Coturnix japonica: one gene and its partner. The protein of the gene in region 1 interacts with the protein of each later gene in a pairwise test. Links are inferred from orthologs where the notes say so. Each region holds a gene or a part of one and is shown on either strand. Other genes may lie near its edges. The genes, in order: EML1 and ISG20L2.

Region 1 (3,905 bases):
CTAGTACTGTACCTCATGTGGAAAAAAAAATCCCATGCATATGTATGTGCACATTGTTTAGAAAAAATGTGATATTTTGGAAAAGGTTGATAGATTATGCCTAAAAAAGGCTGTGAGAAAACCTAGGGGATCTTTGTTAATTTTAAAGGTGAGAAAGAATCACAGCTGATATTAAACACAGTATTTTTGAAGTCGTTTTCATTTTTTATTATATTTTATTTTTAACTAAACAACTACAAATTTCCTTTCTCTTATATCCTGCAGCTATAAAACACAGTGGTTTCTGTCACGCTGGTTTGGAGATCTCTTCAATTCTACCAATACTGGCAATGGCAATTCAGAAGGGAGCACTTTTCACCCTACTTTAATGTGGAACTGATATCCCAGCCTAATTTTATAGCATATTTTTGTGTTAGCGCTGCTATGGCTCAGTGATTGGTGCAAAGACTCGCATATACAGAACTCAGGCCTGTAACTGGATCCATATGATGGAACTGTCATGCAAAAAAAGCTCCTTAAAGGACTGAGACACAAAGTCACACTTTAAGCGTTCTGGCGTTTTTCAAGAGGAAAAGAGGTGCTGCAGAAATGCAACATGTTATTTTTGTCTTGTCTGCAGAAGAGCTTGAAATAAAAATGGCTTTTGATCACTGAACGCGTCAGCATTTCCAGCGCAGAAACTGAAGGCAACTTTTACACTGCCTAATAGTAATAGGACGAGGGGGAATTGCTTTAAACTAAGACAGGGGAAATTTAGGTTAGATGTAAGAAATTCTTTACTCAGAGGGCAGTGAGGCACAGCTGCCCAGAGAGCTGTGGGTGCCCCATCCCTGGAGGTGCCCAAGGCTGGGCTGGATGCAGCCATGGGCAGCCTGAGCTGGTGGGGGGCAGCCAGCCCATGGTATTGGGTTGGAACTGGGTGGACTCTGAGATCCAGCACTTATCTTCACCTTGTTAGTGTAAGAGAACATCAGTCACAGTACTATGGTGACAGCTCTATCCTATGGCCAGAGGAGCTGCCTCTGAAATGAAGACACCGCAGGGTTGCTCCAGGGAAAGCAAGGGGAGCTTTTAAGCTGTCAGAAGGGGGATGCTGAGGCAGCACCGAACAGCCAGGCTGCCCCAGACCTGCGGCAGAACTCCTGCCATACACACTCTGACTTGCAACTCCCCGCATCCCAAACTTCAGCCTCCGCATCGCTCCGGGGCACCTTTCCAAGGACCTCCCAACGGCGGACGCGTTTCTCCTCCTATCCCCGTTCCCTTCTGGGCGCTGCTCAGCAGGGCACACACCCCGAGGGGCCCGGGCTGCGGGCGGCTGCCGATGAGAAGCGGCCGCAAGACGCCGCTCTCCGCTCGGCTTTCTCCTTCACCGGGCTCTTTCCCGCGAGATCCCGCGGGCCGGCCGCCCTCTGACGGCGGAGGGGAGATCCCGGGCGGCTCCGGCTCGGTCCGCTCAGCAGCGGGGAGCGCCCCGCCCCGCCCCGCCCCGCCCCGAGGCCGCCCCCTCTCGCAGCCCCGGCGCGGCCACCGCCCCATCAGCGGCGGAGTGAATGGGTCGCCATGGCAACTGAGTGAGGCAGGCAGCAGGCAGCAGGCCGCCTCCGCTCCTCAGTGCGCGGACGAGGCGGCCGCCGGGACGGGCGAAGGGAGGTCGGTAACGCGGCGGCAGGATGGAGGACGGCTTCTCCAGCTACAGCAGCCTTTACGACACCTCCTCGCTGCTCCAGTTCTGCAACGGTGAGGGCGAGGCGGCCGCGGGGAGCGGCGAGGTGCCGGCGTCCCGGCGGGGCGGGGGCGGAGGCCGGCGGCGGGGAGAGGGGCCTGCAGGCAGGGCCTGTCCGCACGGCCACGGCCGCGATGCGGGGAGAGAGGGAGGGAGGGAGGAAACTTCGCCTTCAGCCTTCCCGTTACGCGGCTCCGGAGCCGCGGGGAACTTCTGCACCTGGCCCGTAGGAATTCGTGTACGTGTGTGTGTGTGTGTGCGTGTATCCGGCTTGGAGCAGTGCTGAGCCGCCGGCACGAGTCGTCACCCATCGCCGTGCGGCACTGCGGAGTGCGGCCATCCAAAGGATGGGGCTCCGTGTGTGTGTGTGTGTGTGACCGTGCTGTGTCACAGCCCGGAGCCACGAGTGTGGCACGGAGCGTCCTGCCAGCCTGGCCAGGTGGCCCTGGGATCAGTGAGCTGGGGCTGGCAGCCTCCTGAGCTGCTCTGCTGTCACCTGCTTCTCCTTCGTTTTATTTTTAATAGGCTTTTAAGGTTTATTTCACTTGGAGGCTACCTGGTGTGATGTGTGTGGTGGCCTGGAAGGCGAGCTGTTTGGCCCACGGTGACAGCTTGTGGGAAAGACAGGAGGAAGCAAGGAATTTGTCGGTATTATCAGAGGAAATATTTGTGATGCTGGCCTGCATAGCAGTGGGGATTGTGTAGCTGGCTGGTGCTTGCTGTTATTGGGTGAAAATATAGTGCTGCTGAGAGTTGTTCCTGGAAAACTTCAGAATGAAAATCAAATATTTGGAGACTGGTTCCTGCTTTTCAGCAGCAAAATAAGGAGCTTTCCTAATCTCAGATTTCACTGAAAACTGACGTGTGAATCTCTAGTTCCTCCAGGTCTTAGCAGCTCTCTGGCTGTCTGCTATCTGCGGAGCTGGAGCCAGGTTAGTATTAAATCGCTTTTATGACAACAACTGCATCAAGCAGCTTGCCTGCCTCTTCTCCTATCTTCATATTTTCCACATCCCACAGGATTCTTCTTGCGGTGTGCTGCACAACAGGGGTAGGGTTACAGAAGGCAGTGATACATGTGGACCTTGATGCTGTGGGAGTAGTTTCTCAGAATGTGAAGAATTGAGCTATGCATTGTGTGGGGCTGCTGTGTTCTCTGAGCTCTTCCAGAGGGAAAACCATGAGTGTGTACGGGGGTTGTGTGCTAATAACAGATGCCTGTTTTGCCTAAACTTAGTAAATATTTTATTGCGAGTAATTTTTAGCAAGAAAATATGCATCACATTGATTCATTTCAAACTTCATACCCTAATCCATTTGTAAGCAAGCTGGCTTCCTACCAAAATCCTCGGGCTCTGCTTTTGCTGTGTTCATGGCAGTAGCGTACATGTGGGAACAGTGGGAGGAACAGCACTTTCTGAGCAGCTTGAATATGCGGAGTATCTGATTTCTGAGAACTCACACTTCTTTTGATTTCTTAACTCTGAGCACGTAGTACGTGCGGTGAAAATACACCGTATATATTTATGTTGCATATAGGTTTGAAAATCTTAGTTAATCCTTAAGTTTTATCATCGAGAATGAGTTACTGTAGGGATTATTTGCCTGTCTGCCATGTAATTGTCGATGTAGAGGCTCAGGAAACTGTTGTTAACTTGAATTATTCTGTGTTTATAAAAGAAAGTGGTTTGATTCAAAGCCTTTCCTTTAATGAGTTAACATTCAGTGAGACTTCATTATACGACATGAAGCAGAAAAGGAAAATGGGGTCTTTGAATAGTGCCTTGAGATGATCAGATATTTCATACAGACACATGACCCATAAGGGAAAAAAATGCAGATGGGGAATAACCAGTGAAGGTTTTAGGGTTGAAAGAGGAGAAGAAAACTGCTTTGGAAGGAAGCGGAAAGCTCTTTCAAGTATAAAGAGTACTGTGAGAGATGATGTGGGGCTGGAGTAGGGCAGGAATAAAGAAGAATCAAACAGAGAGAGCAGGTAATAGGCATTTGAAGAAAAATATGATTTTGGTGTAGGGCAAAGCAAATTAAAACAACGTGGATGGTAAGCACTTGATTTGTCCATCTTTGTAGGTTGAAAGGTTTTCCCTTCTGAAGAGAGGAAAAAAGGATCGATTCTAGTTTTACAGGTTGTAGTGGAAATGCTAAGTCACAGCCTGAA
Region 2 (3,905 bases), on another chromosome or scaffold:
CCTCACAGCAGCCCCTTCCTACCTGCCCTGCACCTACATCCACCACACGGTCACAGCCAGTCGCTTTGCTCAGCTGCTGCAGTACCTATAAGAGGGGAACGTGGGTTGACATGCAAGCTACGAGGTGACACCAGGAGGGTTAGAACTGAAGCACCCACCTTTCCCAGTCGCCAGATCTCATGCTGTTTCTTAGGCTTCACATGGCGACGCAAAAGTGGATGTAAACGGGGGCTTTGACACGGTGGACGTGGGGCACATCCCACCTGCCCCCTTGGGAAGGAAAGGGCATGAACAGCAGCGCTGAAAGCCAACAAGGAGAGCGGCCACACTGTGCCCTGCCCCACCATACCCCCATTCCCCAGCAGCATGGCTGCAAGCTGGGGGGGCTCTGCTGCTTCTAAGGCTGCCTGCCATGCAGATGGAAGCTTTGCCCACAGCCCCTCAGTGAAGAAATCCTGTAGGGGGGAATGAAAGATGCTGAACATGGGGATACGACGGAGACATGGAGGATGCACTGAGGACACTCACAATGATGTAGGAGTCGAGGAGGGGACGGTACAGGGATAGGAGGCGGACGATGTTGGCTGCTCGCTGCTGCTCCCAATAGAGATGGGGGGCACCTGCCATGGTTGTGACGTCACTCTGAAGGCGTGACGTCATTCAGAGCTCATGACGTCACTCTGAGCTCATGACATCACTCTGAAGTCGTGACGTCACCCTGGGGATGCCAATCTCTGCTTGTCCATGACCTGATAGAGCCACAAGGTCCATTCAGAGCCATGTCACAGCTCACAGAATCGCGATATAACACGGTCGCCACCCCCCCACCAACCCAAGACCTCCTGGGTCATAGAGACGCCCCCTCCCGCAGGCCAGAGCGGCCCCAAGCGCCACTCACCTCCCGCTTCCGCAGGCCCACGAGGCGTTTCCGTTGCCGGCAGTTTCCGCTTCCGTTGCCGGCAGTTTCCGCTTCCGTTAGTGGCGGTGTGGTGGGGGGGTGGGGGGGAGGGGAGGCCTGCTGGGAGCTCCCGGTTTCAACATGTCGGACCTGATCCTTAACGTCACCTTTGGGGTCGTCGATCGTTCCCGTAAGGTCCCATCCGGGAACCGTAAACACAAGAGATTTATTAAGAGACGCCAATTAGAACGGAAACGTCAACAGCTCCCATCTGCCGTTCAAACTAAAGGGGGAGGCCTAAAGAAATGCGGTGGTAGAGGCCGAAGGAAGAGGAAACGGACAAAGGGCGGAGGGGAACGGGAGGAGAACGGAAAGCAAGGCCCCAATGGGTCCATTGGGAACAACGAGGCTTCAACCTGCAGCACCCAGCAAGGAACGAGCACCAAAGGGCCACAAGGAGTTAATAAAACCCATAAGGGTTTAATAGGATCCTCCGGGTCCCCACCAGCACCCAGCAAGTTGGTGGCTATCGATTGTGAAATGGTGGGCACGGGACCCGGTGGGAGAAACAGTGACTTGGCACGTTGTAGTATTGTGGGTTATGAGGGGGATGTGTTGTATGATCGTTACGTGAAACCCTCGGCTCCCATCGTGGATTATAGGACGCGTTGGAGCGGCATCCGAAAGAAACACATGGAGAACGCTGTGCCCTTCTGCAAGGCACAGAGGGAGGTGGGGTGATATGGGGGGGGAAGGGGGGCTGTGGTCATGGTGGGCTTTGGGGGCTGACTGTGATGGCCTTTGAGGGCTGTCTGTAGTGGGCTTTGAGGGCTGTCTGTGGTGGGCTCTGAAGGCTGTCAGTGGTGGCCTTTGAGGGCTGCTTGTGGTGGTCTCTTAGGGCTGACTGTGGTGGGCTTTGAGGGCTGTCAGTGGTGGGCTTTGAGGGCTGTCAGTGGTGGCCTTTGAGGGCTGTCAGTGGTGGGCTTTCTGGGCTGTCAGTAGTGGGCTTTGGGGACTGTCAGTGGTGGGCTCTGAGGGCTGTCAGTGGTGGGCTTTGGGGGTTGTCTGGTGGTCTCTTAGAGCTGCTTGTGGTGGTCTCTTAGGGCTGCCTGTGATGGCCTTTGAGGGCTGTCTGTGGTGGGCTTTGAGGGCTGACTGTGGTGGGCTTTGAGGGCTGCTTGTGGTGGTCTCTTAGGGCTGTCAGTGGTGGCCTTTAAGGGCTGTCATTGGTGGCCTTTGAGGGTTGTCTGTGGCTTTGAGGGTTGTCTGTGGTGGGCTCTGAAGGCTGTCAGTGGTGGGCTTTGAGGGCTGTCAGTGGTGGGCTTTGGGAGCTGCCTGTGGTGGGCTTTGAGGGCTGACTGTGGTGGGCTTTGAGGGCTGACTGTGGCTTTGAGGGCTGTCAGTGGTGGGCTTTGGGAGCTGTCAGTGGTGGCCTTTGAGGGCTGTCAGTGGTGGGCTCTGAGGGCTGCCTTTGGTGGTCTCTTAGGGCTGCCTTTGGTGGCCTTTGGGGGCTGTCAGTGGTGGCCTTTGGGGGCTGTCAGTGGTGGGCTTTGGGGGCTGCCTGTGGTGGGCTCTGAGGGCTGCTTGTGGTGGTCTCTTAGGGCTGCCTTTGGTGGCCTTTGAGGGCTGACTGTGGTGGGCTTTCTGGGCTGTCAGTAGTGGGCTTTGGGGACTGTCAGTGGTGGGCTCTGAGGGCTGTCAGTGGTGGGCTTTGGGAGTTGTCTGATGGTCTCTTAGAGCTGCTTGTGGTGGTCTCTTAGGGCAGTCTGTGGTGGTCTCTTAGGGCTGCCTGTGATGGCCTTTAATTGCTGCCTGTGGTGGGCTCTGAGGGCTGACTGTGGTGGTCTTTGAGGGCTGTCTTTGGTGGGCTTTGAGGGCTGACTGTGGTGGGCTTTAAGGGCTGTCTTTGGTGGGCTCTGAGGGCTGACTGTGGTGGGCTTTGAGGGCTGTCTGTGGCTTTGGGGGCTGTCAGTAGTGGCCTTTGAGGGCTGTCTGGTGGTCTCTTAGAGCTGCTTGTGGTGGGTAGGGGACTGCTGAGGATATGGCATCTTGGTCCACATCCCAGTCCCCATCCTGCAGCAGATGGGATGTCTTCCCATGCTTCTGCTGCTCCCATTCAGTTGTACATCATAGCCCTAAGCTGTGATTCTCACTGATAGATCCATGCTCCTGGTTTTGAGCATCGCTCTGCTTGTGGGGCAGGACCCTCCATTGTGCAGCATGGTACACTGGAGCCTGTTCAAATGTTCTCTCTTTTCCTCCCCAGATCCTGAAGATCCTCTCTGGAAAGGTGGTGGTTGGCCATGCCATACACAACGATTTCAAGGCTCTCAAGTACTCCCACCCAAAAGCACTCACCCGTGACACATCCAAAATCCCCTTGTTGAACCGAAAGGGTGGATTCCCCGAGAACGTCAGCATCTCCCTAAAGCGCCTCGCCAAGGAACTGCTGCACAAAGATATCCAGGTCTGCTGCTGCTCCTGTTTCTCACTCCTCATCTCAGCAGCTGCATCAGGAAGCTGCTTCAAAGCTTCTTTTGGGGCGAGAAATTCCCCAGTGTCCCCAAGGAACATGGGGAACAAACAGGCAGTGTGAATAGGCTGTGGGGAGTATGCAAGAGCAGGGAGGTTTGCTCTGCTCCTTTGCAATCTGTGCTTAGGTAGGGGATGGAGGTTTGTTGTGTCCCGTCCTGGGGCTGGGGTATCCCAAGGTCAGTCACTGCCTTGTACCTCAATACAAGAGCTACAAGAGCAGCTCAGCTGCAGAGCCAGCAGCTGAGAATGTTGCTGGGGCTTTTTCTTTCTTAGCAGTGCCCTGGGCTGTGCCAACCCCTTGTCACTATCCCCAACAGGTTGGCAAAAGTGGACATTCTTCAGTGGAGGACGCCAGGACCACCATGGAGCTATACAAGATCGTGGAGGCAGAGTGGGAGCAACACTTGATGCTGAACTCTGAGCAGTAATGACTTGCCCCCACAGTCCAGCCCAAACCTCATGGATCACAGAG

What was found.
Region 2: the proteins of EML1 (region 1) and ISG20L2 interact in binary tests that used the Homo sapiens proteins (3 or more experiments, as listed by UniProt). The two-hybrid records come from large-scale screens. The link is inferred for Coturnix japonica from reciprocal best matches to the Homo sapiens genes EML1 and ISG20L2.

Annotation. Positions count from the first base shown.
Region 1 is NC_029520.1:43,885,373-43,889,277, forward strand, and holds the start of EML1 (echinoderm microtubule-associated protein-like 1), read left to right. Parts: upstream 1-1,510; 5' UTR 1,511-1,673; coding exon 1,674-1,740; intron 1,741-3,905. UniProt on the Homo sapiens protein: Modulates the assembly and organization of the microtubule cytoskeleton, and probably plays a role in regulating the orientation of the mitotic spindle and the orientation of the plane of cell division.
Region 2 is NC_029540.1:644,208-648,112, reverse strand, and holds the start of ISG20L2 (interferon-stimulated 20 kDa exonuclease-like 2), read left to right. Parts: upstream 1-980; 5' UTR 981-1,039; coding exon 1,040-1,630; intron 1,631-3,164; coding exon 3,165-3,365; intron 3,366-3,750; coding exon 3,751-3,861; 3' UTR 3,862-3,905. Other genes in the region: protein RRNAD1, read right to left, coding at 23-85, 159-455, 529-660. UniProt on the Homo sapiens protein: 3'-> 5'-exoribonuclease involved in ribosome biogenesis in the processing of the 12S pre-rRNA. Displays a strong specificity for a 3'-end containing a free hydroxyl group.